Linked DNA regions of Tamandua tetradactyla. The protein of the gene in region 1 interacts with the protein of each later gene in a pairwise test. Links are inferred from orthologs where the notes say so. Each region holds a gene or a part of one and is shown on either strand. Other genes may lie near its edges.

Region 1 (7,888 bases):
AAGGTTTTCTCAAATTTCTCCTTTTCCGGCTTGGGGCGGTGGGTGGGTGGGTGGGAGCTAATGGCCTCTTTCCACCCAAGTTTCCAGAGTTTGGGACGCGGAACCTCTGGGGACCCCACGAGGAGCGGCTCGGCGGCCTCCTCTTCGGGTTTGGCACAGGTCAGAGTTCCCTCCCAGTCCCTCCCCGCCTGCGGCCTCCGCCTCCTAGCCCGCCCTCCCCTCCGTGGCACCTACCTTCCCGGGCAGACAGGTGGCGGGGTCTGAGGACGCCTGGGCGGGCAGGAGCATCTCGGCCCGGCTCCTGCCAGGCGCGGCCGCTGTGGGCCCTCGGCGAGCGGCCGGGGAGACGTCCGAGGTGCGCTCCCTGCCCTCGTGACCCGGCCGGGCTGGGGCTGCGGGGGGCTGGGCGCCCCCGGAGGGAGAGGGCGACAGTGAGCGCGCGCGCGCGGGGAGGAAGGGAACGTGAGTGGGGAAGAGGGAGGGCGGCCGGCGGAGTTAGTGTTTCCAATCTGAACTGTTTGCCGAGGGGTGGGGTGGAGGGCCCGGCTACTCCCTCTCTCCCGCCTCGCGGGGCGGAGGCTCCGGGACGCGCCGCTGAGGGCGTGCGAGTGCCCTCCGTCGGGGCACTGGCCGGGCCGGGCGCGCCGCGGGGACGCTGGTGGCCCCTTGCCGGGGAGGTCGGGCCGGCCGGGAGGCGGCGCCGCCCGAGGGTCCCTGGGGAGCCCGCTCTGGTTTCCCAGCTGCCTTCCCCCCGGCCCCCCACCGTAAGGCTGGCGTCGGGAGGGACACGGGAGAGCCAGCCAGAGCCACTCAGAGTTTCCAGCGACATTTCCAGAGTGTGGGAAGGGAGCTGCTGCACTGCGGAGCCAGGACAGAGGGCAGAAGTGATTAACGACAGCGAGCGGTGGGCTCCAGAGCCCGGGCCGGCCAACGACTGATAGGGAGGCGGCAACTTCGAGAGGCCGGAGACCCGCAGGAGATGCAGACTGGCTGGGACCGAGATAAGCGGAGGGCGCCCCACAGGGAGTCCTTAGCAGAATGAGTTAAGGCCCGGCTGGCTCCCTCCCCACTAGGAAAAAGAGATTTTGTGCTTGCGTAAGCGCGCGTTCGGACGTGTGCAAACCCCACACATGCACACACACATGGCTCGCAAACGTGCAGGTACCCTGGAGACAGCCCCTGGAGGAAATTGGCCTAGGCGAGCAGCACACAGGGCATGCTGCCTCCCGAAAGAGGATGAGGGTGGGGTCTCTTCTGGCCGGGATGAGGTTTGGAGGATCTGACTGTTCCCATACACGGGATTTGTTTTGATCTTGCTGCTTTTCCTCTGTTCCCACATCTCTGGCCAGGGTTCCAAGAGTCCCTGCCCATTGACTCCCTGACCCTAGTGGCCTTCCCTTCTCTGCCCACCTTTCCTCCAAGTCCTGTGTCTGCACAGGGCCTGTTGCCGAAAGTGAGAGTGCTAAATGAGTGTTCATTGATAATGGAAACAGACTGGAATACTTCTAGCCTTTGGCTTGTTTCTGGAATCCTAAGCCCTAAACTAACTAAACAGCAACTTCAGACCCTCTTTGGGATGATAGTTATAAAGTGTCAAAGTAAGGAGACATTTATTGCATGCCTACTGGGTTTTAAGATCAGTGTCCTCAGAAGGCTTTTCAAGTATATTATTCAACTCAAAAGTTCAGAAGGGAGTAGGGAGAGGGAATGAAGCTATTTTAAATCCCTACCACCGCTGATGTTATTAGCTTTTAACTTATCTTTTCTCACTTCATTTAAAAGAATTATCTCTGGTTGCAATGGATGGGCTTGACACAGGATCAAATATGAAAGGAGATATTTAGGCTAAGGAGAAGCTTGAGAGACAGGGCGTGCAGGCTGACTTCCAATGTCTGTGGGACTGCAGCAATGTTTGCATTCTATGGAAGTACACTATGTGGGAGTGCAACTTCTGCTAACAGAAGTGGGACCATTGGGTACAAATTATAGGGAAAGCAATCCAAGCCTTCCAAGATAGTGTTCTTTAATAACTGTAAGTGTTCCAAGTCTGCCAATTGTGGATTGTTTTTGTCAAGGCAATTATTGCACTGAGCAGGGGGCTGAAGGAAACTGTTTCCTTGTAAGAATGTATGATTCTTTAGGAAAGATGAAGGGAAGGGGATGGATTTGAGAGCCACTCATAATAGAAGACAGCTACAGAAAGGAAGGTAGGAGCTCAGGAAACTTAAGGGCAGGAAGTGGAGCATCCCTCCCTTTCCTAAAGCTTGAGTACTTACCCACCCCTAGGGACCATTTTTTCTCTCCCTAGGGACAATGTATGTGCCCATTTCTCTAGTCACCAATTTTTCCCACCTGTTAGGATCCTTGGCACTAGGAAAGGCCACATCACTTTCATTTTCCTCCTTGTTTTCCAAAGACAGTGAAGCTGAAGATCCTATGACTCCAGGAATCCTGGCCATACCCTTTCTCACTAGCAGCAAGCTTCCCTTATTCTCTAGGGCTCTGACCTGGGCTCCAAGATAAATATTTAACCTAGAGGTTGCAGCTGAGCTGACAAAGGTCCCAACTTCCTGTTTGTCACAAAGGGAGGTGGCAGCCATCAGCAAGTAGCTGGGAACTGCCTACCAGTTTCATCGCTATGGAAATATGGAGTATACGGCTTCGTAGGAGGAGGAGGGGCAGGCCCTGATGGAGACCTGAGGTTTTCCCTAAGCTGCTCTGACTTCTGCCTGTCTTCTTAGGTGCTGATTCTGCCGGGCTTATGGCTTTTTCTCTCAGGTCAGAACATGCTTTGCCCTAGCACCAGCTAAAATCATTTTCCTTCCCAGCACCTTAGACTATCTGCTTGGACAAAGGAGGGCCTATAATGGGGACTGTCTGTTGTGTTCCGTGGTGCCCATCTGACCTCATAGAAGAGAGGATGAGGGATTGGTGAGCGCATAGGGCAGGAAAAAAAACAAGGAACCTTGACTACTTCCTCCTGTTCTGCCTATGTTTAGGGAAAAGAATCCCTACTCTTTGAAAAGTGGGAGATGAAGGGGGAAAAAAGAGTAGCAAGGTTCAGAGACAGCCCAAAACCAGGTGTCTGATTTCTCAACTCCTCCCTCTGTCTTCGTGCTATTTGTTGCTGGCCTGACTTCCCAGTTGGCATCTTTTTAGGGAGAGGCTGAGGATAGAGGAGACTGTCCTAGATAACATGGCTGTTGTCAACAGCAGAACAGATTCCTTTAATCCAAAAGCAGTGTGTCCTCTGCATGACTCCCTTATGCAGGGACCTCCTTCCCTGAGCTTGCCTCCTCCCCACCTCTGCCACTTTTTTTTTTTTAATTTTTAAAAAACATAACAAACAAACATTCTTAACATGTGATCATTCCATTCTACATAAATAATCAGTAATTCACAATATCATCACACAGTTGTATATTCATCATCATGATCATTTCTTAGAACATTTGCCTCAATTCAGAAAAAGAAATAAAGAGAAAACAGAAAAAATTTCATACATACCATACCCCTTACCCCTCCCTTTCACTGATCACAAGCACTTCAATCTACTAAATTTATTTTAACATTTGTTCCCCCTATTATTTACTTTTATTCCATAGGTTTTACTCGTCTGTCATAATGTAGATAAAAGGAGCAGTACGGTAGATAAAAGGAGCACTGGCACTATCTTTTGTCAGGGGACTGCCTCTGCCTTCTCAGAGCCACCTCAGCCATAGTAAACATAGTTACATAATTGCTGTTTTTCCTAGCTGTCAGATCCCAATCACCAGTATCTTAGGCCCCCCTCTCCACTCCTGGAGGCTACCACCTTTAGTTCTGTGGATTATCCCTTAATAGCACCCATGTCAGCAGAGGTCTGTCCATTCCAACCACCCTAAGGGATGATTAGTCAAGAGACTACCAATTAATGTGGGACTTCACACAAAAGGGAAGAAGGTGGCTTTTCATGCAGGAATGCAGGTCACACTGAAAACTAACCTGTCACCAACAGGAAGGTTGAACGGAAAGTGGACTTCAGTAGTTTTTTATTATAAAGGAAGGCTAGGTAAATAGGGTCCAGCAGAGAACTGTTACATTTCTTAAGTGGGGAAAGGGAAGCCAGGGATCCCAGAAGACATAAATATGGACTCCTTCTTGAGGAGTGTCTTTATCTGGGCCTGGGAGTTTGGTATTCACACCAGACACACTGCTGTGATCTACCCTAAACAGCTAAGTGCCTCCTCAGCTTTGTGCCTCAGTCCCCCTACATTAGATAAAGGAAAGGCATCTATTGTTCCTTTTTTTCTCAGGGATGAATTTTCAGGTAGACTTTGAGCTGGTTTTTTATTTGTACTCTCAGGAGTGTTTTCTTCCTGCCAAGGGAACTGAGCAAGCAGATCAGAATGGATTAGGAAAGAAAGCACTGTCCCTTTCGACGAGTTTGGACTTCTCTATTGGGGAAGCTGACAGTGACACAGCAGTGAGGAACTGAAGACCAGTCATACACACACCAGCAAAAATCTGGGCTGTTTCATCCCCTGAACGCCATCCCTTTCTCCTGGGTCCTCTCCTGATTCCAGCACCTGCATGTGTTCCCAGCCAGGTTCTACTGATTGCCCTTATCTGTACCAGCCACTCATGGGAACAAGAGCAAGCAGAGGAGGAAAGAGTAAATGACCCTCTTTGGGGCTTAAAAGGCCCTCCTAAATGGACAATGGCATGATGTAGATGGCCTATTCCCATGTCTTGTTCATCTGAAATCCAAGATTTTTGTTGTAGTCACTGTAAAATGAGGGATATTTGAGAGTGAGAAATATATGAGATTAATACAGGTCAGGTATGGTCAATGGTGGGCCCTGGAAGCCAGAACGACTGAGGGGATCCCCAAAGGATTAGAATGAGGCTTTCAGACCTGCCTTTGTACAAATCTTTCCATAGCATACACATGATGGAACGGGCATCTATTCAAGGTTCTTGGAACCAACAAAATCCAAATCCTAGAGGCTGCGTGAGAACTCAGCCTTTTGCCCAGTTTATCTAGTCTATCCTCAAGGAAGGTTTTACACTGACATAACAATTATTCTCTCTCTTCCTCTTTTCCAGTTGGGCAAACAAGCACAATGCACAGATGAGGTGTCTTTGAGAAGAACTGAGCTGTGTGAACTTCTTTTAGTTCTCAGGAAAGATGGAAAGAGAAGTGTCTGTCAGCTCTTTAGAGACTAGATTTTATAGGGGAAGGATAAATGAGTGATGACCTCAGAGGAAAAACCCAGCCAAGTCAGCTCAACCACAAAGAAGAGCACAGAACCAGGAGTTGGAAAATTAGGTATGCATCAACCATCTTTCCTAGCTCAGTTAAGCTAAGCTAAGTAAGATAAGAGGGATGATTTGTTGGCCAGTGTACACTTGAGGTAGAATTCTGGCCTCTGAACAAAGAATAACCTTGTCTTTCCACCTCCGATTTTATGATGAACCTTCTCCTTAACTGCATCAACATTAAAAAAAAGACCATCTAATTTACTGTTAAATTCTTAATTCCCTGCATCAGAATTAAATAGATATTCTTTCTAAAATCTGGAAATTTTGATAAAAAATATAAAACCATGTAATTACATTTAGCAGCCCAAGAAATGGGGATTAGATCTTGATATAGCAAGAATTAAATACAATTTTGCATTTGGATCCTTAATTACCAGGCTTTTAAAAAAGTTTTAGGACCTGGTTGTCAATTCTGGAAATAAGGGCACATATAATATTCCTATTTTGCTGAAGGTTTAGCTGAAATATAAGGATAACGCTAAGGCATGATGCTATTGGAATAACAAAGAACTCAAAATGTATACCCAGCTTATCTGAGATTAGAAATCTGGACTTGTTTTATGGGCTGTGAACTGCACTGTGGCCCTCAATGTGGTATGTTTAAAGTAAAAAATTCTGAACTTGGGTTTGACTTTCTGGATTTAGACTTTCTACCTCCTCTGCCATAACGTGTAGAACTTCCTCACTGATGCATTTTCCTTTCAGGCTGCTAGGCACTTTCCCTATCCTCAATTACCCACTTGCCCAGAGGAGGTTATTTTTCCTCTTGACTCCCCAGCACCTGATGTTTCTACTTTTCAGATGAATCACAGGGCTGGTTCTGATGCTTCTTTTTCTTGGAGTCTGACTTAACACTCAACTCCTCTCTGCCTTCTTCAGCTTCTCCTGAGTGGGAATTCATCCATGTCTATTATTAGGATCACAGGCAGAGTAATTAACTTACTACAATAAAAGACTTTTTTTTCAGTTTCGTAAAAACAGTCTTCTGGGAGCCTTTCTTCCCTTTTTTAAAGTTGCGGCCTCTGCTGGAGAAGCCACAGAAGGAGCTTGGATTTGAGCATGAGTTACTTATGGCAAAATGCCAGGAAGGCAGCCAAGGGCCCCGGAATGAATTCTGAGTGAAGAGAAATAGAAATACCTCTACAGTTATCAAAGCCAATTTAAAAATAAAGGATAAGAGAGAAAGAAATAGGTATTTTTTATTATGATGGAATTCCATCTCTTAAGAGGGGAATTCCTTGGCATTGTCAGCGACCAGACCAGACACTAAACACCAAGCTTTCCCTCGACTTCTAGAATTATTAAATAGGTAAGAGCCAAATATAAGTGCCTTCATCAGGAAATAAAGAAAACAGGGAGTCAATGAAGGTATAGTTTAATTTTAAGAGAGTTTTCTTTTTTTTTTATCTTTAAGATGATTTCCAATTTACAGTAAGAAAGTTCGAACAAATTCATTTCTTATTCTCAAGAAAGACTAATTAAATGATTTCTGCCAAAATAACATTTCCACCATCTCTTTAACATAACTGAAAGCATGAAAAAAGCATGTAATCTCTAAGAATAAGTATATATTCCGTAATTCATAAGAACCTAAAAATAATTACACTGCCAGCTAGTATCATGTGTCTGACCACCTCAAATAGGATGCAAAACCAGGATCTTTTCATTGGAAATGACTGCTGACATTTCTATTAGGAAAAATAGCTGTTGGTTATAGTACACTGAAAAAGGACAAGTGAGATGTTCATGATGGCATCTTAAAAAGATACTTTGACAAAACTCCACATCTTTATTATTCAAACTTAAAAATCTATGGTACATTACCTCCTTCACTTCAACATGCAAAAAAAAAAAGTTATTTTGAGGACAGCTATGTCAAGGGAATTTTGGTAAGGGCATATAGGAGGGCAATGTGAATGGCCCTACTTTAGAGCTGCTTGGAGGGATGGTCCACATGCATGTCCTTGTTTCTTGATTTTAAGCCACCTAGATTTGTCATGGGGTTATAGAAGAGGAGAAGATGCTAAGACTGGTCATAACTGTCTCAGACAAAGGTGGTATTTAGTGAGTCTTGTCAAGCTTGCTGAGACATGAGGTCAAGGTCTCCTTGGAGGGAATATACTCTGCAGTGTTACCTTTACCTTTGTGGCTGTGTAGATGAAAGCAGCGAACACTGACCTCATTCACTTCTGTTGGCAGGCCATGTCACAAGTCTCAATGTAATATAGGTTCTCTCTTTCACACTCTGTCAATGGCACAAAGCTCTATTGTTAGCATTGGTCTCTGCTTTCACTTAAGTAAAACCCTGTTTTTCTACTGTACAGATTTCTTCCTCAAGACACATTTGCTCTTTCTTAAGGCTTTCCTATGAGTGTTCTGAACATAGTGATGCTGCAAAGGCACTGTGGCAATACAAGTCTTCAGAATGTTCTCCGTGTAATCCAAACCCTCCTTGATCTATTTCTGGAGTTTCCCAAGTTGCCCTTTACTCCTCCTTATGGCATATTTCAGAAAAGATATTGGTGGAGTGTCCCACAAAGTGAAATCCATGGTTATAACTACAAATAACTGTAGGAAACTGGAG
Region 2 (7,057 bases), on another chromosome or scaffold:
TGTAATATGCTTTTTCTTCTTCCTAATCTATTAGACATAGCAGCTAATTTCACGCCACACCTCATATTTAGTGTCTTTGGAATACTAGACTAAATCCTAGTCAATATGGAACAAAGACCAAGACAAACCACAAGAAAATTAGCAATCTATCCTATGTCATTATCTACAGCTTCAATCTGGCCTTCCCTCCATCTGATGAAAATTTCATCCATATGATAAGTGGAGCATCAAATGCAGTGTTTACCACACAAAAAAAGCTGTTTCAACAGCCATACACTTTTCAAGTCCTGAGCTCTCAGCATGAGTTCACTAGGAGTCAAATGTATAAATATCTGCCTACCTCAAGGGACAACACACATCAACCTATTGATTTCTCTAGGGAGTATGAGTTTCACCCAGTCTCCAAGATGAGCCCATGAAACAGGTGTTCAGAAGTAGCAGCAAAGTCAAATCAGCCCCACACTTTCCTCTTGCAGGACCCAAGTTCCCTTGAAAAGAGAAGTTCCTAGATTAGTGGTTCCCAGTCCAGGTAGTAATGGCTCAGGATTAACTGGGAAGCTTTTTTAAAGCTCAAATTCTTAGGCCCCCAGACATACTGAACTTTTCAAAAGTTCCCCAACTAATTCTAGTGCAGTGAGGTTATCAGTTTTTTTTGGTCTACCTGTTCATAAGCATGCTTCCTGGTGGTTACTGGTATGCCTCGGAAATCCATCATAAAAGTCACCCAAAACCATTTCAAATCTTTCTAAGAACACACCCAAAAGCACAAACCACGATGGCAGTCACCACAATGGAGTCTCATTTCACTGATAAAAAAATTGACAGCTTGGCAAGAATATATAATAAATATCAATTAAAAATTACAATATATATATAAATAAATAAAACTGTTCTACAACTAAGTGCTGTGATGTGCTTTGAAATTTATTGCTTTTTTGTATATATGTCATTTTTCACACACACAAAAATTGACTGTGATGATAATTGCACAGCTATATGATGGTGTCGGGAACCACTGATTGTACACTTTGGATGATTACATGGTATGAATATATAATAAATATCAATTTAAAAAATCAACAGCTTTCTAAACCAACACTACAGATAGAACACTGGATGACAAGAGAGAAGCCCACCCTTCAGAGATGCAGGAAAACAGGCAACTTGATACCTGTTTTGAATTTTCATCTAATGGCCTAGAATTTATGTATCAATTCCCATACCTCATACTTAGAATTCTTGTATAGGCTTGAGAGCAAAGCTGTTTTCTAATCTCACAGATAGTAGTCAGCACACATACTTGAGATATCAAGTACCTTTAAGGGAACACCGGGAAACGTTAAAATACTCAGTAGTGCAGGTCATGCAAAAGTCCACATCATTTCTATGATGAGTGTGAAGGGGTGGGATACTGGTACACAGAGAATAAGCAAAGTGGTCAAGATGCAAGCTGTGCTTTTTGTTCCAAAGGCCAAACATCTCAAGCAATTGCCCTGCCAGGGGCAGTGGTAGACACCTTGGAAAATGTGAAAAGCTTGAAGGGGGTGATGGCGATGGAGGGAACTCATAGGGGTATGTTCAAATCATCTCTAAACTAGAGAGGTGCACACCCGTCGTGAAATGTCCTGGGGTGTGAACTCTTGGTGAAAACTGTTTCCATAATTTACCACTAGCTCTGGCCCGGATCTAACGGGAAATGCCACCCTCTTCAGTCCTTAGGCCTCCTCACGAAGACCACATCTTAAGACTTGGCAGGGTTAAGTGTTAGCAGTAGAAAAAAAGGGAAACGACACAAGAAAAGGAAGTTTCTCATCCAGCCCCCCCCCCCCCCCAAACGGTCTCACCTCCCCGCGTCCTGCTCCCGGCCCGCAGAGCCTCCCACGTCTGTCAGGCTCGCAGCTGAAGCAGCCAGCTCTTCAGAAGGCCTCTTGCCGGTCCCATCTCCACCGCCGGAGCCACCGTTGCAGCTCTTAGTGCGAAAGAGGCGACTCAGGCGGATTTTGAGGGACCCCTTCCGTGAAGGGCCAGCGAGCGGCCGGAGGGGCGCAGGTGGAGGCGGGGGCGGGGGAGGCTGCTTCTGCTGCTGCTGTTCTCTACCCAAGCGCCCAGGAGGGACCAAGTCCTGCAGCGGGAAGGGCACTGGGGGTAATTCGGGGCCTGGGGGCTGCAGCAGAAACCGGCCACCCCCTCCTCCTCCGCGTCCCGGGCTGCTGAGCTCCTCTTCTGAGCAGCTGTTAGTCTCCAAGCTCTCGGCCTCCGATTCCAAGCCCTCCAGGACCAACAGCGCGTCGCTCGTTTCCGTGGGATCCTCCCCGGCCTGCGGGGCGGCAGCAGGCGGCTGGGGTTGCGGAGGGGGCTGATGCGGGGGGCACGGACACGGGCAGCACCCCCCACCAACCGTCTTCACCCCCGGCCCCGCCGGCTGCCCGAGCCCCAGAGCCGCCAACTGTGCCTCTAGTCCAGCCGCCGGGCCCCAGGCCCGCTCGAGCGCCAAGCCCGGCGTCAGGGCCTTGGGGTCCAGGGCACAGCGATGCCGAGGGCACAGCAGTTCCGACGGTCCGGGCTCCCGGGCCGCCTCGGCGTCCTCTTCCTCCGGCGGCCGACCCACGTTGCGGAAAACCATCAGCTGCGGCGGCCGAGAGCCCCGAGGGCCGGGTCGCGCGAGGAAGGGTGGCGGCGGGGGGCCATGGCCCGGGGGCGGCGGCGGCGGCGGCGGGCCTGGCTCGGGGGCCGCCTCTCCATAGCCGAGCAGGCGGCTCAGGACGCGGTACGAAGCGGCCGCCGCCGCCGCCTCGCCATCCCGTAGCTCGGCCCCCTGCATCGGGGAGAGGGAGGGAACGAGGGCGGCTGCGAGCCGGGCTAGGGTGGGGACTAGGCCGGGCCCCGCCGGAGCCCCGCCCGCCGCGGCCCCCGGAGCGACAGCGCGAACGGCCGCCGCGGCCTCTGCCTCATAGAGGGGGGCGGGGGACGCGCGGAGCCCAGCGCGAGTCCAGGCCGCGCGCCGCCGCCGCCAAGGACCGCCCCCCGGGTTAGCGTCATTTCCGGAAGGCTGTAGTCACGCCCCTCTCTTTCAGGGCGCGCTCGCGGGGGCCTCCACGGCGCTTGACGTTACGCGCTCCAAGGACCACTAATTGGCCGTTAGCTCACCGGCTGGTGGTTGGTCAATTGACCCGACCATTGCTTTTTCGCTTCCCGGGCGCCCGGGCCCTGTTCACCCCGCTCGGTAAAGTGAGGCGGCCCTAGGAAGCCTGGTCTGGTCGTAGAAGAGAGCCTCTAGTTCTCGCTCTGCCTATGCCGCTTGGGATGTGTGACCTTGGCTCGGTCATTTCATCATTAATCTGTGTCCCCCAGGCAGCCAGTGAATATTTGTTGGATGATTACAGGAATAATGTGTTCTGGACCTAGTGGTGTGTTGCTGAATGTTTAACAGCTGGCTCAAGAGATGGGGATGGCATATGCATTTTACTGATGTGAAGGATATGTAGCTCACTATTTACAAATAATAAAAATATAAAATTGCAATTGATCGTCACGATGTTTTCATTGATTTTTGCCAAATTCTTGTATGGATTGTCAACCTCTGGTTGCAATTGACCAAGGACTGTAGTTGCACCATAAATGTTGGTTGATAATTCCGTCTATGTTAATATATGGAGTCCCAGGGCTGGGACCCCCTCCATACTAAGAATAAGTTACTGCACATAGCTGCCTGCAATGAGCAGGACAGAAGCTAAAAGTCATCAGACCTCCTCGGGGGTGAAACTAATGTACAGATGGTATCATAAAGCATTAAAAAGCCCTTCCGATGGCTGTTGATAAACTTCCAGACCCCTGCATCACGAGGCCCTGCTCAAACTCAGTTCTCATACCCTATGGAATGTCTTTGTCCTAAACGCTTTTAAGCTGTACTTCGCACTCTCGTCCTTTTGTGGAGCACTGACTTCCATTTTCTGGACAACCGCCACCAGGAAAGATCTTCTGCTTGTAAATCCCAATAAAATCCATGCCTAACTCTCTACCTAATATGTTCTTTGTTCTTGGGGCTGCGTGGACCTGAAGCTTTTCAAGAGCTTGGTTGGAACATGATGTAAGAGGAAAGTGTAAAAAACAAAGACCAACTTAACTGGATTGTCAATGATGGGAGTAACTAATTTGCTAAATTGGAAAACAGTTTCAAATACTAGGAAAATATCTCAGTTTTTGCGCTAGTCACAATGTAACAGCTACACATGGCACATTAAGTTTAAATCTGAATTAACATTTTCTCCATCACTTGCCTAAGTTTAAACAATCAGTAAAACCATAAATAAAGCCCTGATTTGTAGAATTTACAGATTTCCATGGTGTAAGTATTCCTACTCTGGCTAATTTCAACATGAATTTTGAACTCAGAGCTAGGAAGACATGAGTAGTAACATCCTATCACATAAATAGTTCCATCATGCAGATACAATAGATATAAATAACCCTGAGCATACATAATAGTAAAACAATTAGAAAGTGATGAGTGTTGAGATTTTATGACTTCTGTTTTTAATATAATTTATTTATAAGTTTGCATATTTTTGTTTTCATTAGTGACTGTGTTTCCTGAAAATTTAACAGTTGGCTTTTACAAGGCGCTATGAGCCAGCTCCACAGCACCAGTAGATATCAGTTTTCTGGTCTGTGAAAGAGGGAGAAGAACTGCTGTTTTGCTTACTTGTAGGCATGTTATGAGGATCAAATAAGACCAAGGAGGTGGGACTGGAGGCAGGGAGACCAGTTAGGAACCCATTACAAACTTCCTGTGAGAGATGCTGAAGGGGCGGGCCACGGTGGCTCCGCAGGCAAGAATTCTCGCCTGCCATGACAGAGGACCCGGGTTCGATTCCTGGTGCCTGCTCATGTGAAAAAAAAAAAAAAAGAGAGAGAGAGAGATGCTGAGGGATGAAAGGGATGAGAAAGGACCAGCAGAACTTAGCAACTTCATTACCTGAGGGTGCATCGAGGGGAAGCGGGTCAAGGATAAGGGCAGCCACTAGATTTGAGGGTCCACTGTGAACCCTGCAGCCAGAGGACCATTTCAAAATGGAATGTGTTTCTGGCTTCCCATCGTCCTTAAGCTGAAGACAAAACTCCTTAAGGTGGCCTACGGACCAGATGTGATCTGGCCCCTGCCTCTTTCTGACACAGCTCCCACCAAGCTTCTTTTCCCTCTCTCTCTCCGGCAGCCCACGTCCCTGACCCCTCCCTCCCCCCATTCCTCCAACCCACCCACCCCTGCCTTGTGTCAAGCTTGCACCCATATGGCCATTTACATAAGCTGTTCCTTTTCTTTAGAAGACTTCTCCCTCTTTCTGCTTAGTAAACTCCCACTCGCCCTTCTAACTGAACTCACTCCTCCCTTCCTTAGGGAAATCTCTCTGCCTGGGCACTTCCCCATCTTCCAGCTCCTTTGTGAGACCACCAATTTGTGGCACTAAATTACACAGATGTAATGTATCATCTCTCTGTGGGGCTTTTTGACTAAAGCCTGTCATCCCTAGCATACTGTAAGCTGCAGGAGGACAGGGGTCTTGTTTGGTTTTTGCCCATTATGAAATCTCCAGTGCCAAAGATCATGCCGAGCAGAGTAGCCCTTGATACATAAGCACAGAGTGGTCTTATAAGAAGTTCCTGATATAAATTAACCTCTAATTCTGCACTAAGGAATGAATATCCTTTCTTACACGTGAAGAAACAGAAGCTCAGAGATTTAATTACCCAGACTCACACATTTCAAAAAGGTGCAGTGGAATTCAGAACCAGCTCTCACTCCCAAGATTTTATCCTTTTCCCTCCTTCCACCAGCTACCTTTCAGGTATCATTCGGGTTTATGGCAGAAAAGAATAGAAATTGCTATAGGATCACAGAACACCTGAGGTCAGAGAAGGCTACCTAAGACCCCTGGCTTTCTCTGGGAACCTCACTGGCCCCTGAACAGGGTTCCCTGTAAAAGGCCAGGCCTACTGGCTCTGCAGCGCCCTCTGCTGTTCCAGACACTTTTTTGGCCCCAGAAAGAAGCAGACAGTGTTGGCCAGTTGGGAAAGTCCACTTGCAGGCTCTTCTTTCTAAGGCAGGTCAAGGCTGCTCTCTTGCCCCATTTCCTTAATTGTCTAGGCCTGTGGTCCAGGTCGTAGAAAAAAACATTGCAAGACAATCTCCAAGTACAGAGAGTGTATCTCTGTGTTTGTACGACTTGGATGTATGTGTGTTTGCTCAGTGGGTTTTGTGTCTACATTATCTCTTTCACTTGGGCTATAAACGTGGTCCCTGCAGTGGTACAACCCTAGTTAGAGAGGTCTGTGGAGAACAACTTAAAGAATCTAAAGAAGTCCTGAGGTTCATTTAGTGTTTCAATATTAATTGAGCACCATCAATACTCAATGGGCTAGGCTTTGAGGTGCAGTGAGGAATGAATGGCTGCCTTATTCTAGAGCTTGTGATCTGGTCTGAGTTCTAATCATACCATTTCCTGGCTATATGACCAAGACCAAATTAATGACACATCTTTGAGCCCACGTTTCATATGAAAAATGAATGGGTCAATAATCTCTCCTTTGGTTGTGGGGATTAAATGGAAAATTATATGTAAAGGTGCTTGTTAAGTGGTAAAGCACTATACAAATGTTAGTTATTATTATGGAAATCTTCTGGAAAAATAATCGTGTTACCTTATTATTATGTCTTTACCCAGTATATTTTGTTGACTCCAAACTACTGGTAACCAGTAATAATAAGAGAGCGGAATGGGCCACTTGCTCTACTTTCTCCCTCTCTCTGTTGGCACCCAGAATTGGAGCAGTCAGAAGAGAGGTGTGGGTGTGGGATACTAGTGTCTGATCCCAACCGTACCACTAAATGGCTTTGTGGCCTTGGGAATGTCACTTTCCTCTCAGGGTTTTAGTTTCCTTTTCAGTTAGAGAAAGATGTGGGCCCTTCTAGTTTTGACATCACAGAAAACCGTGTGGACAAAGCCCCTTTCTCTCCCACCCCCACTGTTTACACTCACACTTGGGATTCTGCAGCAAAGGC
Region 3 (7,438 bases), on another chromosome or scaffold:
TACAAGGGATCTTGAATAGGGTGTAAGATCTTGTTGGTTTGTCCAGGTTAGTGTGATGCCTCAATATACCCCAGAGTAATCAGAGGAGTGAATAAAGAAGTATTTGGAAGGTCTTCTTGGAAGACTGGGGAGAAAGGACTTCCCCATTTGGAGAATTACTGATATTCTCACAAGCTGTGAGGACAACCAAATCAATAGGCTGAGCCCTCCTTCTTGGGGTTTGCCCCTATGAAACTTATTCTGGCAAAGGATAGGCTAAGCCTACTTAAATTTAGGCCTAAGGGTCATCCCCAGGGAACCTCTTTTGTTGCTCAGATGTGGTCTGTTTCTCTAAGCCAATGTGGCAGGTGAACTCACTGCCCTCCCCGCTATGTGGACATGACTCCCAGGGGTGTAAATCTCTCTGGAAACATGGAACAGAAATCCCAGGATGAGTCAGGAGCCAGGAGAAAGCCTTCTTGACCAAAAGGGGGAAGAGAAAAATGAGATCGCAAAGTTTCAGTGCCTGAGAGATTTCAAATAGAGTGGAAAGGACATCCTGGAGGTTATTCTTATGCATTGTATAGATATTCCTTTTTAGTTTATGGTGTATTAGAGTGGCTAGAGGGAAGAATCTGTTGAGCTGTGTAGTAGCCTTGATTCATGAAGATGATTGTAAAATGAAATAGTGACTATGATTGCGAAAATCTTGTATCTGTTGCTCCTTTTATCCAGGATATGGACAGATGAGTAAAAAAAAAAAACATGGATAAAAATTAATAAATAATTGGGTGATAAGGGGTAAAAAGTTGTTTAGATTGAAATACTAGTGGTCAATGAAAGTGAGGGGTAAGGGGTATGGAATGTATGAGTTTTTCCTTTTCATTTCTTTTTCTAGAGTGATGCAAATGTTCTAAAAATGATGATTGTGATGAATACAAAACTATGTGATGATATTGTGAGCATTGATTGTACACTATGTATGGACTGTATATGCATGAAAATTTGTCAATAAAAATAACAAAAAAAGATTCCCATGCCCTCCTGTCAATTCATCAATAAACATATTTTTAAGATAGAGCTTTTAGGATTTAGTGATGGATCAGCAGTGGGGTTTAAGGGAAACAGAGGAATCAAGGATGATGCCAAAGTTTTGGAACACTGGTGCTCTGGGAACACTGGGGAACACTGGTGCTCTTCAATATTTAAAGACTGGTGAGGGGTAGAGGAATCAGCCATGGTGCCTACTAAGAAAGGGGCAGACACTGATCCAGGAATGAAATGTCATTACTTCTTCTAGGTGTTTTCTGGCTAGGATGTTTATATTGCTTTCCTAATTCAAATTCTACTTTTCAGGCATTTTTTCCCTTAATTCCTTTATATCTAGTTGAAGCTTGCATATGAGTAACCTCCAGAATAACCTCCTGGCTCTCTCTGAAATCTTTTAGCCACTGATACCTTGTTACATTTCTTTCCCCCCTTTTGGTAAGGTATTCATTGTTGATCCCATTGTGCCAGGGTCATGACTCATCCTTGGGAGTCATATCCCACATTGCTAGGGAGGCTTACATCCGTGGACATCATGTTCCACATAGGAATAAGGGTATTGGTATTTTGGTGTATTAAAGCTTCTGGAACGCAATATACCAAAAACGGATCAGTTTTAACAAAGGGGATTTATTAAGCTACAGGTTTTACAGTTCTAAGGCCTTAAACATGTCCAAACCAAGGCATCCAAAGAAAGATACCTTGACTCCGAAGAAAGGCCAGTGTCTATCACATGGGAAGGCACGTGGCTGGTATCTGCTTGTCCTTGTTCCTGGTTCCGTTGCCTGTAGCTTCTGATTCCAGTGGCTTTCTCTTTAGGCGTCTGTGGGTCCTGACTTAGCTGCTCTGGAGAAGAACTCTGGGTTTCATCTCTTACCTTAGTGTGTCATGGGAAGGCACATGGTGACATCTGTTGGGCTCTGGTTCCCGTATAGCTTCTGTCAGCTCTCTCAGCTCCTTGAAACTCCTGAGGCTTCTGCATTTCCAAACCTTTGTGTCTAAATTTTCTCCTAAATGTTTCCATGTGTCTGCTTTTTAATGTCTCCAGTAAAGTAATCAAGATCCACCACATCTCCACCTAATGAAAAAGTCACATCCACAATGGAGTATGTTACATCTGCATGGAAATAATCTAATTAAATGGTCATACACAATTGGATATGTCACATCTCCATGGAAACAATCTAATAAAAAAATCTCACCCTACAATATTGAATCAGGATTAGAAGAGCAAGGATTTTTGGGGGGTACATAACAGTTTCAAATCAGCACAGAGGGCAATGATTTTACTTGGGGTGGGGAGGGAGAGAGAGAGGGAGAGAGGCTACATCTGAGCAACAAAAGAGTTCTCTGGAAGCAACTCAGGGACCTTGATTTCTTTTTTATTTTTCTTTGCACTCTGAGGAGTACTATTTCAGAAGGGCTGCAATCACCACATTGGGTCAGTTTAAAATAACCTATGGGGCTGGCCATGGTGGTGCAGCAGGCCCAGTTCTTGCCTGCCATGCCCGAGATCCAGGTTCATTTCCCAGTGCCTGCCCATGCAAAAAAACCCAAACCAAACCAAACGAAACAAAAAAACAAACAAAAAACCAAGAACCTATGTGAAGTATTTAGCACATATGACTTCAAATCTTTTTTTTAATTAAAAAATCTTAGTGGGATATTTCTAATGACAATACATTGAAAAGAAAATTTAAAATTTACTCTGTGGTTTTATTGTTAGTGATAACATTGGTACAGTAATTTTGTAAAATAATTGTTTGTAAATCATAGGATAAAGCAAATACATTTATTATTGTTCAGAAGTAGCTTAGGTATTCTATGATCCGCATTATTCCATCTACCCAGTGGCATACACAAACTTCCAATTCTGTTTTTCCCTTCCTTCCCTCCCCTCCCTTCCCTTCTCTTCCTTCTCCTTTCCCTGACCGTCTATGCCTTCTTTATGATTTTTCCTTCGATTTCTGTTTACTAGTGTAATTTACCATGATCAATTTTCAATACTTATACATTTATGGAACACTAGAAAATACCAAATATTAACTTTTCATTTTGTATCAGGAATGTGTCCTGGAAACCCTCATCAGGTGTAACTATTTTTGTTCCCATATACAACACTCCCTCTCCTACCATGTGGTGGTTTGGAGCAGTATGTATCCCAGAAAAACATGTTCTTCAATCTAATCCATTCCTGCGTGTGTAAACCCATTTTAAGTAGGAATTTTTTATGAGGGTACTTCAGTTAAGGTATAACCCACCTCATTCAGGATAGGTGTTAATCCTCTTACTGGTGTCTTTTATAAATAGCATGAATAAGGAGAAAAAGGCTGTGGAACCAAGAAGCTGAAAGTAAGGAAATCTGGAGGAAAAGGGAGAGACCAACAGAAACTGCCATGAGCCTTGCCATTTGTCAGAGGAGCCAAGGAACTCTGGCAGCTGGTCTTCCAGAAGAACGTATGGCTTGATGATGCCTGGATTTGGACATTCCCATGGGTCTCAAACAGAAAGCTAATATATTTCAAGTGTTTAAAGCCAGCCCATTTCATGGTATCTCCTTTGAGCAGCCTGTGAAACTAAAACACCCCAACAACAAAGACAATAAAATATTTCAGGGCAGGAATCATCATCCTTCATTGACATATCTACTTACTTCATTCAGTTCTAAATACATACAATTGAATGAAGAACATTCTCCACTGAATGAGAAAGAAGGCTTTCTAAATTGTCAAGTACTCTTTTAAAGAATTAAGATGCTTATTTCAGAGCAGTGTGTCATAAGTCAGGTGTTTTTAGGAAATACGTTTTGGATCATCGTTTAACACTTTACATAATAACTGCTCTTTTACTATATTCACGTTAATATCTATATGAAACTAGTAGCTGCGAAGGGCTATTAGTTCTGGTAATTCTGACAGAAGTCCCATTTTTAATCCATTTTCGTACAAGCTAAGTGGTTGGAGACTACTAACTAAAATTATATAAGACAAATTATGCCATACCGGCTCTTCCCTAACTAACAGAATGATGTCGAGCAAATCATGTCTATGTTTCCTAATATGTATAATGCGAGCTGATATAGCGCTTATAGTTTGCAGGATTGGAAACGGGTATTAAAAAAATAGAAGTGAAAGCACTTATACTGTATGAGACGTTACAGAAATGCGAGCATAATGTTATGATCATCTGTCTAATGGAGAATGCCTAAGCATAAAATAGAAAACGTTAAGAAACATCTATATTTGTATTAAAACACAGCGACAGAACGGCAAACGCAGAATGCGCGTGCGCAAAAGATCCTGCCCGGGAAAGAGTCTGGAAAGAGGAGGTAGGCGGGACCCACGCTCTACTATCCTCCTAACTCCGCCCCGCGAACAGGGGTTTGCGCGCAACGTCACGCGAGCTCTACTTCCGCTTCCGAATAGTCAGTTTCTCTTTTTTCCTGTCTGGCTGGGAACATGGCGTCCCGCAAGGAAGGTACCAGCTCCGCTGCCTCTTCTTCCACCACCAACACCGGTGCAGCCGGGAAAGGAAAAGGCAAAGGCGGCTCCGGAGACTGGGCTGTGAAGCAAGTACAGATCGATGGCCTGGTGAGTTGGGTACCATCTCTCTAGGTCCACGTGGGGAACGTCGTTCCTAACTCCATCCCGCCAGACACGTTTCTCTGCCGCCGCCTCTCTAGGTTTGATGTGAATGGAACAAGGTTTTTTATTAGCACCCGCTCCGTGATCTCACTTTTTGTTGGGAGAGATGCGTTAACCTTCTTTGCTTTTTGACAGGCGAATTGAAGGTTGAGAAATGGGGCCGAGGCTAGGGGTGTATGTGACAGATCCTTGGAGTCTTTTTTTGAGATAGCTGGGAGAAGAGACTTGGAGAAGGACTGTTGTGGGAGACAGGCAGGTGATGGATGTGTCGAGAATGATCTAGGATCCTGATATCGGGCTGCTGAAAGGGCAGAGTAAGGGAACCTTTCATTGCTTTCCTGCTGGGACATGACATCTGTAACTTCTTAAGTGGAGATTTACTTTGTAGCTACTCTTGTCTTTGGTTCAGCGCTTTTCCCGAAAACCTGCATAATTGGAATAAACTTTTATGAAGAACTTATTCTCAAGAACATAAAAGACATCTAAGAGAAGTACACGTATTTAGTGGTTAAAGTTCGTGAACTAGAACATCTAAGGAAATCCTTAATAAGGAAATGGACTAAACAGGGAAGAGGCAAATCTAAAATGATAAGAAATTTAATTTTTATTGCTTCTAAGCAAAATACATACTTGCAGCGATCTAGCTTTTAAAGCATTTTGCTTTGAGAGCCTTTCTGCTTCTCTTAATCTTTATGTTTTCTAGTGCAGACCTTAGACATTGTAGTAAAGAAGTAGCTTTAAATTCATTTGAAAATTTTATTTTACTGGGCTTTGTAAGTGGAAGTGAATAATTTTCGGTCCCCCACATAGTTGAATCTTTGAGTTAAACTATTTAAACTTTTTAATATTATTAGTTAAATTGTGAATTCACAGAACAATCATGAATAAAATACAGGATTCCCATCAACTACCTTACCACCAACACCTTTCATTGGTGTGGAACATTTGTTATAATTAATGATAGCACATTTCTACAATTGTACTGTTAAAAGTCCATGGTTTAACTTAGGATTCATTGTTTGAGTAGTGTAAATTGCATGGAATTTGTTTAAAGTTTGTTTTGTTATGATATATACAATCTAGGAATTTCCCCTTTTAATCATATTCAGATATATATTTCAGTGCTGTTAATTTTGCATGCATACATGTTTTGCTACCATCATCACTATCCATTACCAAAACATTTCTGTTTTTCCAAATAGGAACCCTGTACATTGTAAACCTTAATTTCCCATTCCCTATCCCCAACCAGCCCCTGGTATCTTATATTCTAGATTCTGACTCTATGAGTTAGTTTATTCTAATTGTCTCAAAACAGCAAGATCCTTTAATATTTGTCCTTCAGTTTCTGGCTTATTTCCACTCAACATGATATCTTCAAGGTCATCCATGTTGTCCCATCTATCAGGACTTCATTCCTTTTTATGGCTGAGCAATATTCCATTGTACGTTTATGGCACATTTATTTATCCATTTATTGGTTGATGGACATGGGTTGCTTCCATCTTTTGACAGTTATTAATAATGCTGTTACGGATATCAGTGTGAAAATATCTGAGTCTGTGATTTCAATTCTTTGGGGTATATATCTAGTAGTGGGATTGCCAGGTAATGTGGTACTTCCTATACTTAGCTTTCTGAGAAACTGCCAAACTGTCTTACATAACAATTGTACCATTTTACATTGCCATCAGCAATGAATGAGTTTTCCTAGTTCTTTGCGTTCTCTCCAACACTTGTTATTTTCAGCTTTTTAAAAAAAATAGCAGCCATTCTAATGGAGATGAAATGATATCTCATTGGGGTTTTAATTTGTTTCCCTGATGGTTAGTGTGTTAGTTTGTTAAATGCTGCTGGAATGCGATATACCAGAAATGGAACGGCTTTTAAAAAGAGAATTTATTAAGTTACAGGTTTACAGTTTTAAGGCCATAAAAATGTCCAAACTAAGGTATCCAGAGACAGATGCCTTGACTCAAGAAAGGTGGATGTCTGTCACATGGGAAGACATATGGCTGGCATCTCCTGGTCCTTGTTCCCAGTTCTCTTGCTTCTAGCTTCTGATGCCAGTGGTTTCCCCATAAGCATTTTTGGGCCTTCACTTATCTCCTCTGGGAAACAACTCAGGGTTCTGGCTTGTTTCTCATGGGAAGGCATATGGCAATTTCTGCTGGGTTTTGCCTGTGTCTAAATGTCTGCTCTCTCTGTTGGCAATCCATAGATTTCCAAATGTCCATGTCTGTGTTGGCTCTGAAACAGTTGTTCTCCTACTGTCTGCATCTGAAGTTTCTCCAAAATGTTTCCCTTTTCAAGGGAATCTATTAAACTAATCAAGACCAACGTTGAGTGGGCAGAGTCACATCTCCTAATAAAGATCACACCCACAGTTGGGTGTGTCACATCTCCATGGAAACAGTGCACAGTTTCCACCCTACAATATTGAATCAGGATTAAAGGACATGGCTTTTCTGGGGTGCACTGCTTTTTCAAACCAGCACAGTGAGTGATATTGACCAACTATTCATATACTTTCTGGCTATTTGCATATCTTTGGAGCAAGCTCGGTTCAACTCTTTTGACTTTTTTTTTTCTTCCTATAGGCAACACATGGCCTTTAGACCTAAAGAAACTTATATATATTACAAATTGCCCTCTGCTTTTCCATATTAACCAAGATTGCAACTGACAAACCACTGTATTTTATTAAGTACTTAAAACAGCTTAACTCATGATCCCCCCACTTAGAGGTGAAAAAAAGAAACTTAATT
Region 4 (7,803 bases), on another chromosome or scaffold:
TCCTGCCTCAGAGTTCCCACAGACCTGTTTCTCCTCTTCCCCCACCTCACCTCAATATCCGAGATGGCTGATCTTAAAGAGCATGACCAGTTGACGAGCTGCCGGTTCCGGTACAACAGCCCTGCCTCGTAGAGTCGCACAAAAGCTTCAGTCACAGCCACTGAGGAGCCCTAGAATGACCTAAGCGTTCACATCCACAGCCCCTTCACAGCCCTTCACCCACAGGCTTGCCCACACTCTCGCCTGCAGAAATCTCTAAACGCCACCCACACCCCAACACCCGCAGGGACCAAAGCATCAAATGCTTACAGCATCCATGGTAAAACACTCTCGGTCCCAGTCCAAGGAGGCCCCCAGAGCTCGGAGCTGCTCACAGATCTCTCCACCTTTCCTGTTCCCAGAGAGAATACTTGTCAGCAAACACGTCCCAAGCAGCTGCTACGTACCAGGCCCAGCAATGCTGGGGGCTGGAGGGAAATAAAAAGTAGGTCTGGCATGGACCCAGCCTCTAGAAGCTATTGGAGACAAACACAAGACCTAGTAAGGAGCCTTCTATGATACTAAAACAAGCATAAAGTTCTACAATAACAGAGGAGGGGGCAGCCAATATGTGTGAAATCTAAGGAAGTTTCATAGAAAAGATGGCATTTGGTAACAGACTTGGAAGAATAAAAGTGATTTCAACAGATGGAAAGTGGGAATGGGTAAGTGGGAGGGTTGGTAAAATCTACACAAGGTAAAATGGGATAAGTAGAAGAAAAAGAAAAAAATTTAAAAGCATATGTATATATATATTTATATATTGTATATATATGCACACACATATATAGGTACATAAACACACATACATAATGGCTGGAGAATCTCAGCAAGTGCTAAGGGGCCTCAGACCTTATGTTTCTAAGGGATGTTAGGACTGGGGTTGGGAGAGCCACAGACTACAAGTTAGGAAAGAAAGTAGCTGAGGACCCAAGCCTCAAATATCTCAGCCCCCTCCATTCCTTCCCATCCCACTTACTCTTCCTTCCACTTCCACACCTCCCTAAGGAAGTCTTCCCGGCTCAGATCGTATCTCCTCATCCCCTGCTCCTTCCACAGCTGTTTCTCAACCACAGCCTACATTAGAATTAGGGGGCAAATGAACAGAGAACCAGGTTGCTTTGGAGAAACTCTTTTTTACACAAGAAAAGAAGGAAATCTCTTTTACACAAGAAAAGAAAAAGGTAGCAAAAGACATACTTGCGTGGCGATGCCCGCGTGATCTGAACCAGGGACCCATAGCACCTGATCCCCACGCATCCGATGCCTGCAACAGAAGCCCCCCCACATGAGTGCCCAAGCTTACATGTTTATCCTCACTTTTTTCCTACTTTCTACTTGCCTTCCAAGAACTCAAGAAGCCCCCAGCCCCTCTCACCAGCGCACAAGGACATCCTGTATGGCCACTGTGAGTGCATGGCCGATGTGCAGGGAGCCGGTGACATTAGGGGGTGGGATACACATTGAAAAGGTCTCTCCTGTGGCCTGTGGCAGCCGGGCCTAAAAGAAGTCAAAGGGCAGGAAAGGATTGGATGTTACCTGAGGGAACAGCACCCCCTGGCGTCCTCAAGGCAGAAAGAACTAAGGGAAGAACTGTCCTGCAAATGGGGGCAGTGGTGGGGGTGGGGGGTTGAAACTGCCAAGAGAAAGCTTCGGAGATGCTAAGGGCAGAAGATAAGCTCGTCTTTTCTGGACCAAGCTCTGCAATGTGGCTGTAAGGTCCAGATTCTGAAAGTCAGCTGTGCCCACCAACCTTACAGGCCACTCTGTCCTGGGAACAGTTTAGAACCCCTCCCTCCCACGTACTGACCTGATATTCTGGTTTGAAGAAGCCCTCTCGTACCCACCAGGGGTACCAGGCAGCCTCAACATATTGGGGGCTATACGCAGGAGGCAGCGACCCCGATACATCTGTGGAGACAGAGAAGAGCTCTACTAATTACCAAACCTTATCCCATGCTGCATTTAAACAGACAAATAGCAACAAGTGTGTAAATGAAAAAGCCTTCAAAGTTCCCCAGTTACCTTTCCTTTCACCGCGTTCTGTAGGGATTTCATACAATATTCTCTCCTTAGGAGTCCAGGCCTTACTAGATTCTGCAGGAGACTGGGGAAAGAGAGAGACTGAAGGAGGGTTTGCAATTCCCAGCATATCGCAGCCATCTCCCCCAGCCTCCCCAAGTCTTCTCAGAGACCCACATTGCAAGCTGTCTGACCCCTAACCTTGCTCTTCCTGATTATCCCAGCCTCCAGGGCCGCCTGCTTCTCTCGCAGGCGCTTCTGCTTTGCTTCATGGTTCCTCCGGGAGATGGGGGATCCATGGGGCTCCGGCTGGGTTGAAAGGGCATGGGACCTGGAGAGGCCCCACGAAGGCCTCAGCCCCCAAAGTGGTGGTCGAAAAGAAGCCAGAGACAAATGAGGCATCAGGAGTGCTTGGAAACGGGTCAAGATCTGTTTCAGACAGAATGTACATCAGGAAGACATGTTGTCTCTTCCTATTCTCTCCTCTTTAGCCCTTCTTCCTAGAAGCACTGCCCTGTGGTTACTCTAAATATCCGTTCTCTCCTACACAAACCCTTCCTCTAGGAGTTTAGTATTGACAGGGACAGTACCCAGAAATCATGGAGACGAGGTATGCTTTGGTGCAGAGTCGGAGACTTTGGCCCTCAACCCATGCATCTACGACACGGAGGTGACCGACAACACCTGAGGGGGCGGAATTCAGATATGACTGACATTGGCATGCCCGAGAGCCGGCGAGGAGTCCCGCCAGGGTCAGTGCGATCTTCGTACGCCAGGCCCCGAGCCTTCTCACCCATTCCACCGCGCGGCCCCGATCCCCGCAGCGCCCCCCACTCCCGTAAGCCGCCCCGGCGCACTCTCACCCGCCGGCCGTAGGCCCTGACAGCGCCGGTGCCCGCCGCGCGCGGTAACGTGACCAGCGATCAGCGCGGGGCCTCGAGGTGGGTCCTCAATCCCGCGCATGCGCAGCAGCCGGCCTCGTCCCTCCCCTCCCCTCCCGCGGCCCAATGGCAGTCCACGCCGACCGGCGCCAGTAGATGCGGGGAGGAGCCGGCGCCGCTCATTTCCTTTTCACAATTTTATTAATAAACAAGAAAAATACCAACGTGTATATCGAAAAAAAAAAAGAAAGAGCCAACAAACAATAACAACAACCCTGAGTCCTAAGGCCGTGACCGGCTCTGCTCGCCCGAGTTCCGGTCCCCGCACTCAGGAGCTGCCGGTCCCGCCCGGTCCCGGTCAGGAGTTGTGCTTTTGCCGCTTCCAGAAGCGCTTGACGTCGCTGTGCCCGGCCGGGGTCACTACCATGAGCCGCTTAGCCGAATTCTCGAATACGAGCACGCCGAGCTCCCGCGCGTGAGCCAGCAGCAGTTCAAAATCCACTTGCGACAGGAACTGGTTATACAGCACGCCTGGGGGCACAGGTCGGGAGGGAAGGAGAAAATCAGACGTGAGGCTCTGCGCTAGCGACCCAAGGAGTCTTCCCAGCCCCTTCCTGGCAGCCTCAGGCCACAAGTCTGGGATTGCAATCCGCTGCAATTTAAAACTATTCCTCTATGCTTGTCTCTTCCTGGCTCATCTTAAAACTAGCGTGTGGGTAGATGGAAATACTAGTGGTCAATGAGTGGGAAGGGGGAAGGGGTATGAGTTTTTTCTTTTTATTTTTTTCTGGAGTGATGCAAATGTTCTAAGAAATGATCATAGTGGTGAATATACAACTGTGTGATATTGTGAGTCACTGATAGTACACCAAGTAAGGAATGTTCATATGTTAAGAATGTTCGCGTTTGTATGGTGTTTTGTCAATAAAAATATTAAAAAACTAGTGTGACCCAGCCATATTCAGGAAGGCAATATAGCACAAAAACAAAACAAAAATTATTGTAGCTTATCACTCTCACTTTTCCTCTTCTAGCTAGTTTCAACTTGTGCCGGTTTGTGCCACATTATTTGCTGCCAACCACCCACCCCAAAATAGAAGTGTCTTGCCAGCTTTTCTCTCCCAGCTCATGGCAGTTAACAAAAAAATTAAATGCATGAAGAATTTTTTTCAGTTAGTCAAAACTGAATTGTCATTTCTCTGGCCATAACCAAGACTGAGCCATGGAAGCCACTCACCCTCTGTGAACCGGAGCCTGTCCCTTTCCAGCTCCCATAGCCGAATCTGGTCTGTGATGGTGGGGGGCAGCACAGGTGTCTGCAGGGGTGAACTATGGCTGTAAGGATTCAGGAATAGGGCCCCCAGGCAACCCCAGCACTTCTCTCATTCCCCAGGCTTGGATGCCCCTCTCTCTTTTCTATCATCTCAGCACCAGGTGCCTGAGGTTGCCAGCCTCCAGTATCTTAAGTGTACCTGTTTGAGCATCACTGGGTGGGCCCTTGTTCTTAGGAAGTGGATGATCTAGGAAAATAGAGAAGAATAGCATCAGAGCTAAGGTAAGAGGGCAGGAAAGCTCCCTGACCTAATGTCACAGGAACATCAAGTTACTCACAGCTAATCCCTCAATACTTGTGCCTGTTGCCAACCTGACCCATTCCTGTACAGCTGCTGTTCTTGCTGCTCCCACTGGTCATGTCTGCTATTCCCTCTCTGGCACATTTGCCTTTTCCAGTGTTCTTTTGTTTTTCTTTCTTTAAAATACTGGCTTTTTTCTTTTTTTTTTTTTTTTTTTAGCGCTTACTGCATGGCAGGCTCTGAGCTAAATGCTTTACCTTTATTCTCTCATTGACTCCTTCCAACAACCCTATGAGGTGAGGACTGTCATTATTTCTGTTTTCCAGATGAGGAAACTGAGGCTCACAGAAGTGAAACAATTAGGCTCAGTCTTCACAGTAGGAAGTGGTGACACTGAGACATAACATCCAGGGTTATACCTCCTCTTTCCATGCTTTTTCTTCTCAAGGGTCTTCCTATTCTTACACCTAGAGCTCTATCTCATATGCCCAGTGTTCAAACAAAGGCAAGCCACCCACCACCTACAGTAAAAGACCTGGTGCCAGCTTTCTATAATGTGATCACCCTGTTCCCCACAACCCAAGTGCAGGTCATCATCTGGTCCCCACCTCCCCCAGGTGTGGGGTACCTGCTGGGCTGTGATGCCACTGGCAATGGCCTGCTGTACACTCTCCCGGGTCACCTGTGCCACCACCATGTTGGGGAAGCGATAGAGCATCTCAGAGAAGAGGGCAATGAGGGCAATCTGCAGCTCCGACTCTGATCCAGGGATGAGAGAGAATGAGGAGGGACAGCCCCACATGCAGACACCCTCAAACCCTACCTTCAAGTGTAATGAGAAATGTCAGAGTACTCTGTAAACTGCCAGGTGCTAGGTGAATGGAAACAGAAATTGGCATCCCCTCCGGCCAACCACCCACCCCAAGCCTGCTTTTCCCAGCCTGCTCTCCCAGGAGTCCTCTGTCTGTCCTCACCTGTGTAGGCATACAGTCGGTAATTGGTCTCTACGACAATGAAGCCTGGTTGATGCACAGTGCCCCCAGCCCCAGAGACACCTGACGAGAGATTGATGGCCAGGCGCGTGGGATAGTAACGCCGGGATTTCCTCTGGAAAGGACAGAAGGGCAGGGCAGAGGGCCCTTGCTCAGGTGTCACTGCCCTACATCTTCCTGCCTGAGACATCAGATCCCTCACAGTCCAATCTCAACCCCCAACTTCTCTCCCCTGGGGAACCAAGTTTTCAGTCCTGGAAACTACTTCCTGCTCCTGCCTCCTGAGCCATCCCCAACCCTCCTTTTTAAAGGTCAAGATAACACACCACCATACTGTTCCCTAGAAGCCATGCATTTAGATGCTCATACCTTCCTCTGGAAAACAAGCCCAAACTCACGAAGATGTTGCAGAAAATTCAACAGTGAATCACTCATACCTTCCACAGAGTAATCCTGGGGAAGAAATTTGGTCAGCTGGTGTCCAAAACATATCCCATCCTTCCTCTCCTGACCCCACAGATTGTTTCCACTTGCCCCATCTCTGATCAGTCGGTATTTGTTCTTATTTTCTTGCTCTATTGCCCCACAACTGCGTTCCCCCCTTCCCATTTCCCTATCCCTCAATCTGCCTACCAAGCTCTCAGCTTCAGTTGCTTGCTTACCTTGCCCAAAGTAGAGAAGCTGAGCTGAAAGAGGAAGGAGAGAATCTCCACTAGATCCATGCCCCGGCTCTAGAAAGGAAAGTGGCAGGGAGGGGAACGGGAGGACAAAGAAAAGAAAATCAGGGCAGGGATCTCTCAGCAAAATGTTCCTGGGAACAGCATAGCATACTGGTAAGCAGCCCCTGGCCTCCTCACCTGGGCTGTCTGCAGATACTGCAGCATAAAGTACCAGAGCTGAGCAGGAGTGTCTAGAAGTAGGAATTGGAACCCAGCAGAAGTTATGCAGGGTGGCTCTCCAGGTTCAGTACTAGGACACACAGAGGGACAATGGTGGAGATATACAGAGAAAGGCCACCATTCCCACTTGCTCCCTCACATTTTTTCTTGGTACCTCTGGTTTTACTCTACTCAGCTTTCCTTTTTCATTTGACCTGCTCCAATCCTGACCCACTCCAGGTATCCAGTTTAGCAGGGACTCAAGGAGATGGTAAAGCAGGGAGCTGTTGTACCTCTGGCTTCCTCACCTCTTCATGAGTCCAGCCTGGCTGAGGAGCTGAGCCAAGTCCTGGCTAACGGCTGCACTGGGGGAGCCCACCATGAAGTGCAGCACCACCTGAATAACAGAAGAGAATGGAGAGACTAACACCTCTAAGGGCCATGGGTAAGTGGGAACACAAGCAGAGACACAGAGTCTCAAGTCCTCACCTCCCATCGTTCCTCAGCATACTTGTCCAGTGAGGGAACATCCCGGGCGTGCTTGTCTGGTCCTAGCTGACTTGTGTCATCAGACCAGGCCTTCCCCCTATGGCCAGGATATGCCAAGAGTAAGGAACCTGCCGCCCCTGCCCACATTTCACCCTCATCCCAATGGGCCATGAATGAGGGATATTTCCTTCACCACGCAGCTACACCCTGGTCCAACTTATTCCTAAAGGAGCTCCCAAAGGTGAAGCCCACAAGGTTCTAGGGAGGTCTCTCAGAAGCTCCCCATCCAGCTGTTTAATTTGCAGTTTGGGAAGAGATCCTGTCCTAGCTTGGGAAGAGATGGAAGTGACATACCCACCCAGAAGGGCAATGCGGAGATTCTGGCGGAAGACGGGATTGAGGATGAGGCCCTGGAGACCACCAGGGAGAAGCTGGGTGTGCCAGATACGGAGTCCACTCAGCAGACTTGTACTTTCCTCCTGTGCCCTGGAACAGAAGCAGAGAGTGGGGTTTCTGGAGAACAAGAAGGAGGCCTACACAGGCATCCATTTCTGCCTTTTCTCAATGGATGATTCCTGGAACACAGAATGAAATCAGTGTCTTCTTAAGACAAATTTCTTTACTATAAATTTCCTTTACTATAAGACTTAAAAGTCTATACATGTCATGACTTGCTCTATTGCCAAGAAGAAAAATACAGTAGGCAGAGTTTCTTAAAATTACTTAATTATGAATTTTGTAGTATACCCATTAATATTTCCTGGAAGTGACCCAAGAAACAGCAGTTCGGGAAATACAGCTGTTAAGAAATGTGTATCTAGATAGAGGAAAATGTTGGGAGATATCTTATGAATCTTACAACTGGAGGTGGTTTTATGGACCTTAAACCTAAAGCAAGAACACTGAAGAAGGAAATAAATAAATGGGA

Evidence for each region.
Region 2: the proteins of SORBS3 (region 1) and SOCS7 interact in binary tests that used the Homo sapiens proteins (3 or more experiments, as listed by UniProt). The link is inferred for Tamandua tetradactyla from reciprocal best matches to the Homo sapiens genes SORBS3 and SOCS7.
Region 3: the proteins of SORBS3 (region 1) and EIF3H interact in binary tests that used the Homo sapiens proteins (3 or more experiments, as listed by UniProt). The two-hybrid records come from large-scale screens. The link is inferred for Tamandua tetradactyla from reciprocal best matches to the Homo sapiens genes SORBS3 and EIF3H.
Region 4: the proteins of SORBS3 (region 1) and VARS2 interact in binary tests that used the Homo sapiens proteins (3 or more experiments, as listed by UniProt). The two-hybrid records come from large-scale screens. The link is inferred for Tamandua tetradactyla from reciprocal best matches to the Homo sapiens genes SORBS3 and VARS2.

The regions. Positions count from the first base shown.
Region 1 is NC_135329.1:23,326,740-23,334,627, reverse strand, and holds the start of SORBS3 (vinexin), read right to left. Parts: upstream 3,006-7,888; 5' UTR 2,601-3,005; coding exon 2,353-2,600; intron 403-2,352; coding exon 235-402; intron 1-234. UniProt on the Homo sapiens protein: Vinexin alpha isoform promotes up-regulation of actin stress fiber formation. Vinexin beta isoform plays a role in cell spreading and enhances the activation of JNK/SAPK in response to EGF stimulation by using its third SH3 domain.
Region 2 is NC_135332.1:28,756,618-28,763,674, forward strand, and holds the start of SOCS7 (suppressor of cytokine signaling 7), read right to left. Parts: upstream 3,005-7,057; 5' UTR 2,822-3,004; coding exon 1,845-2,821; intron 1-1,844. UniProt on the Homo sapiens protein: Substrate-recognition component of a cullin-5-RING E3 ubiquitin-protein ligase complex (ECS complex, also named CRL5 complex), which mediates the ubiquitination and subsequent proteasomal degradation of target proteins, such as DAB1 and IRS1.
Region 3 is NC_135332.1:161,029,716-161,037,153, reverse strand, and holds the start of EIF3H (eukaryotic translation initiation factor 3 subunit H), read left to right. Parts: upstream 1-4,434; 5' UTR 4,435-4,484; coding exon 4,485-4,616; intron 4,617-7,438.
Region 4 is NC_135331.1:85,843,616-85,851,418, reverse strand, and holds the start of VARS2 (valine--tRNA ligase, mitochondrial), read right to left. Parts: upstream 3,019-7,803; 5' UTR 2,925-3,018; intron 2,870-2,924; exon of another isoform or gene 2,855-2,869; intron 2,746-2,854; exon of another isoform or gene 2,652-2,745; intron 2,491-2,651; 5' UTR 2,464-2,490; coding exon 2,263-2,463; intron 2,147-2,262; coding exon 2,065-2,146; intron 1,951-2,064; coding exon 1,850-1,950; intron 1,540-1,849; coding exon 1,418-1,539; intron 1,307-1,417; coding exon 1,240-1,306; intron 1,117-1,239; coding exon 1,019-1,116; intron 392-1,018; coding exon 310-391; intron 171-309; coding exon 51-170; intron 1-50. Other genes in the region: GTF2H4 (general transcription factor IIH subunit 4), read right to left, coding at 3,301-3,473, 4,180-4,258, 4,415-4,462, 5,145-5,275, 5,491-5,623, 5,878-5,961, 6,171-6,239, 6,366-6,477 and 3 more. UniProt on the Homo sapiens protein: Catalyzes the attachment of valine to tRNA(Val) in a two-step reaction: valine is first activated by ATP to form Val-AMP and then transferred to the acceptor end of tRNA(Val).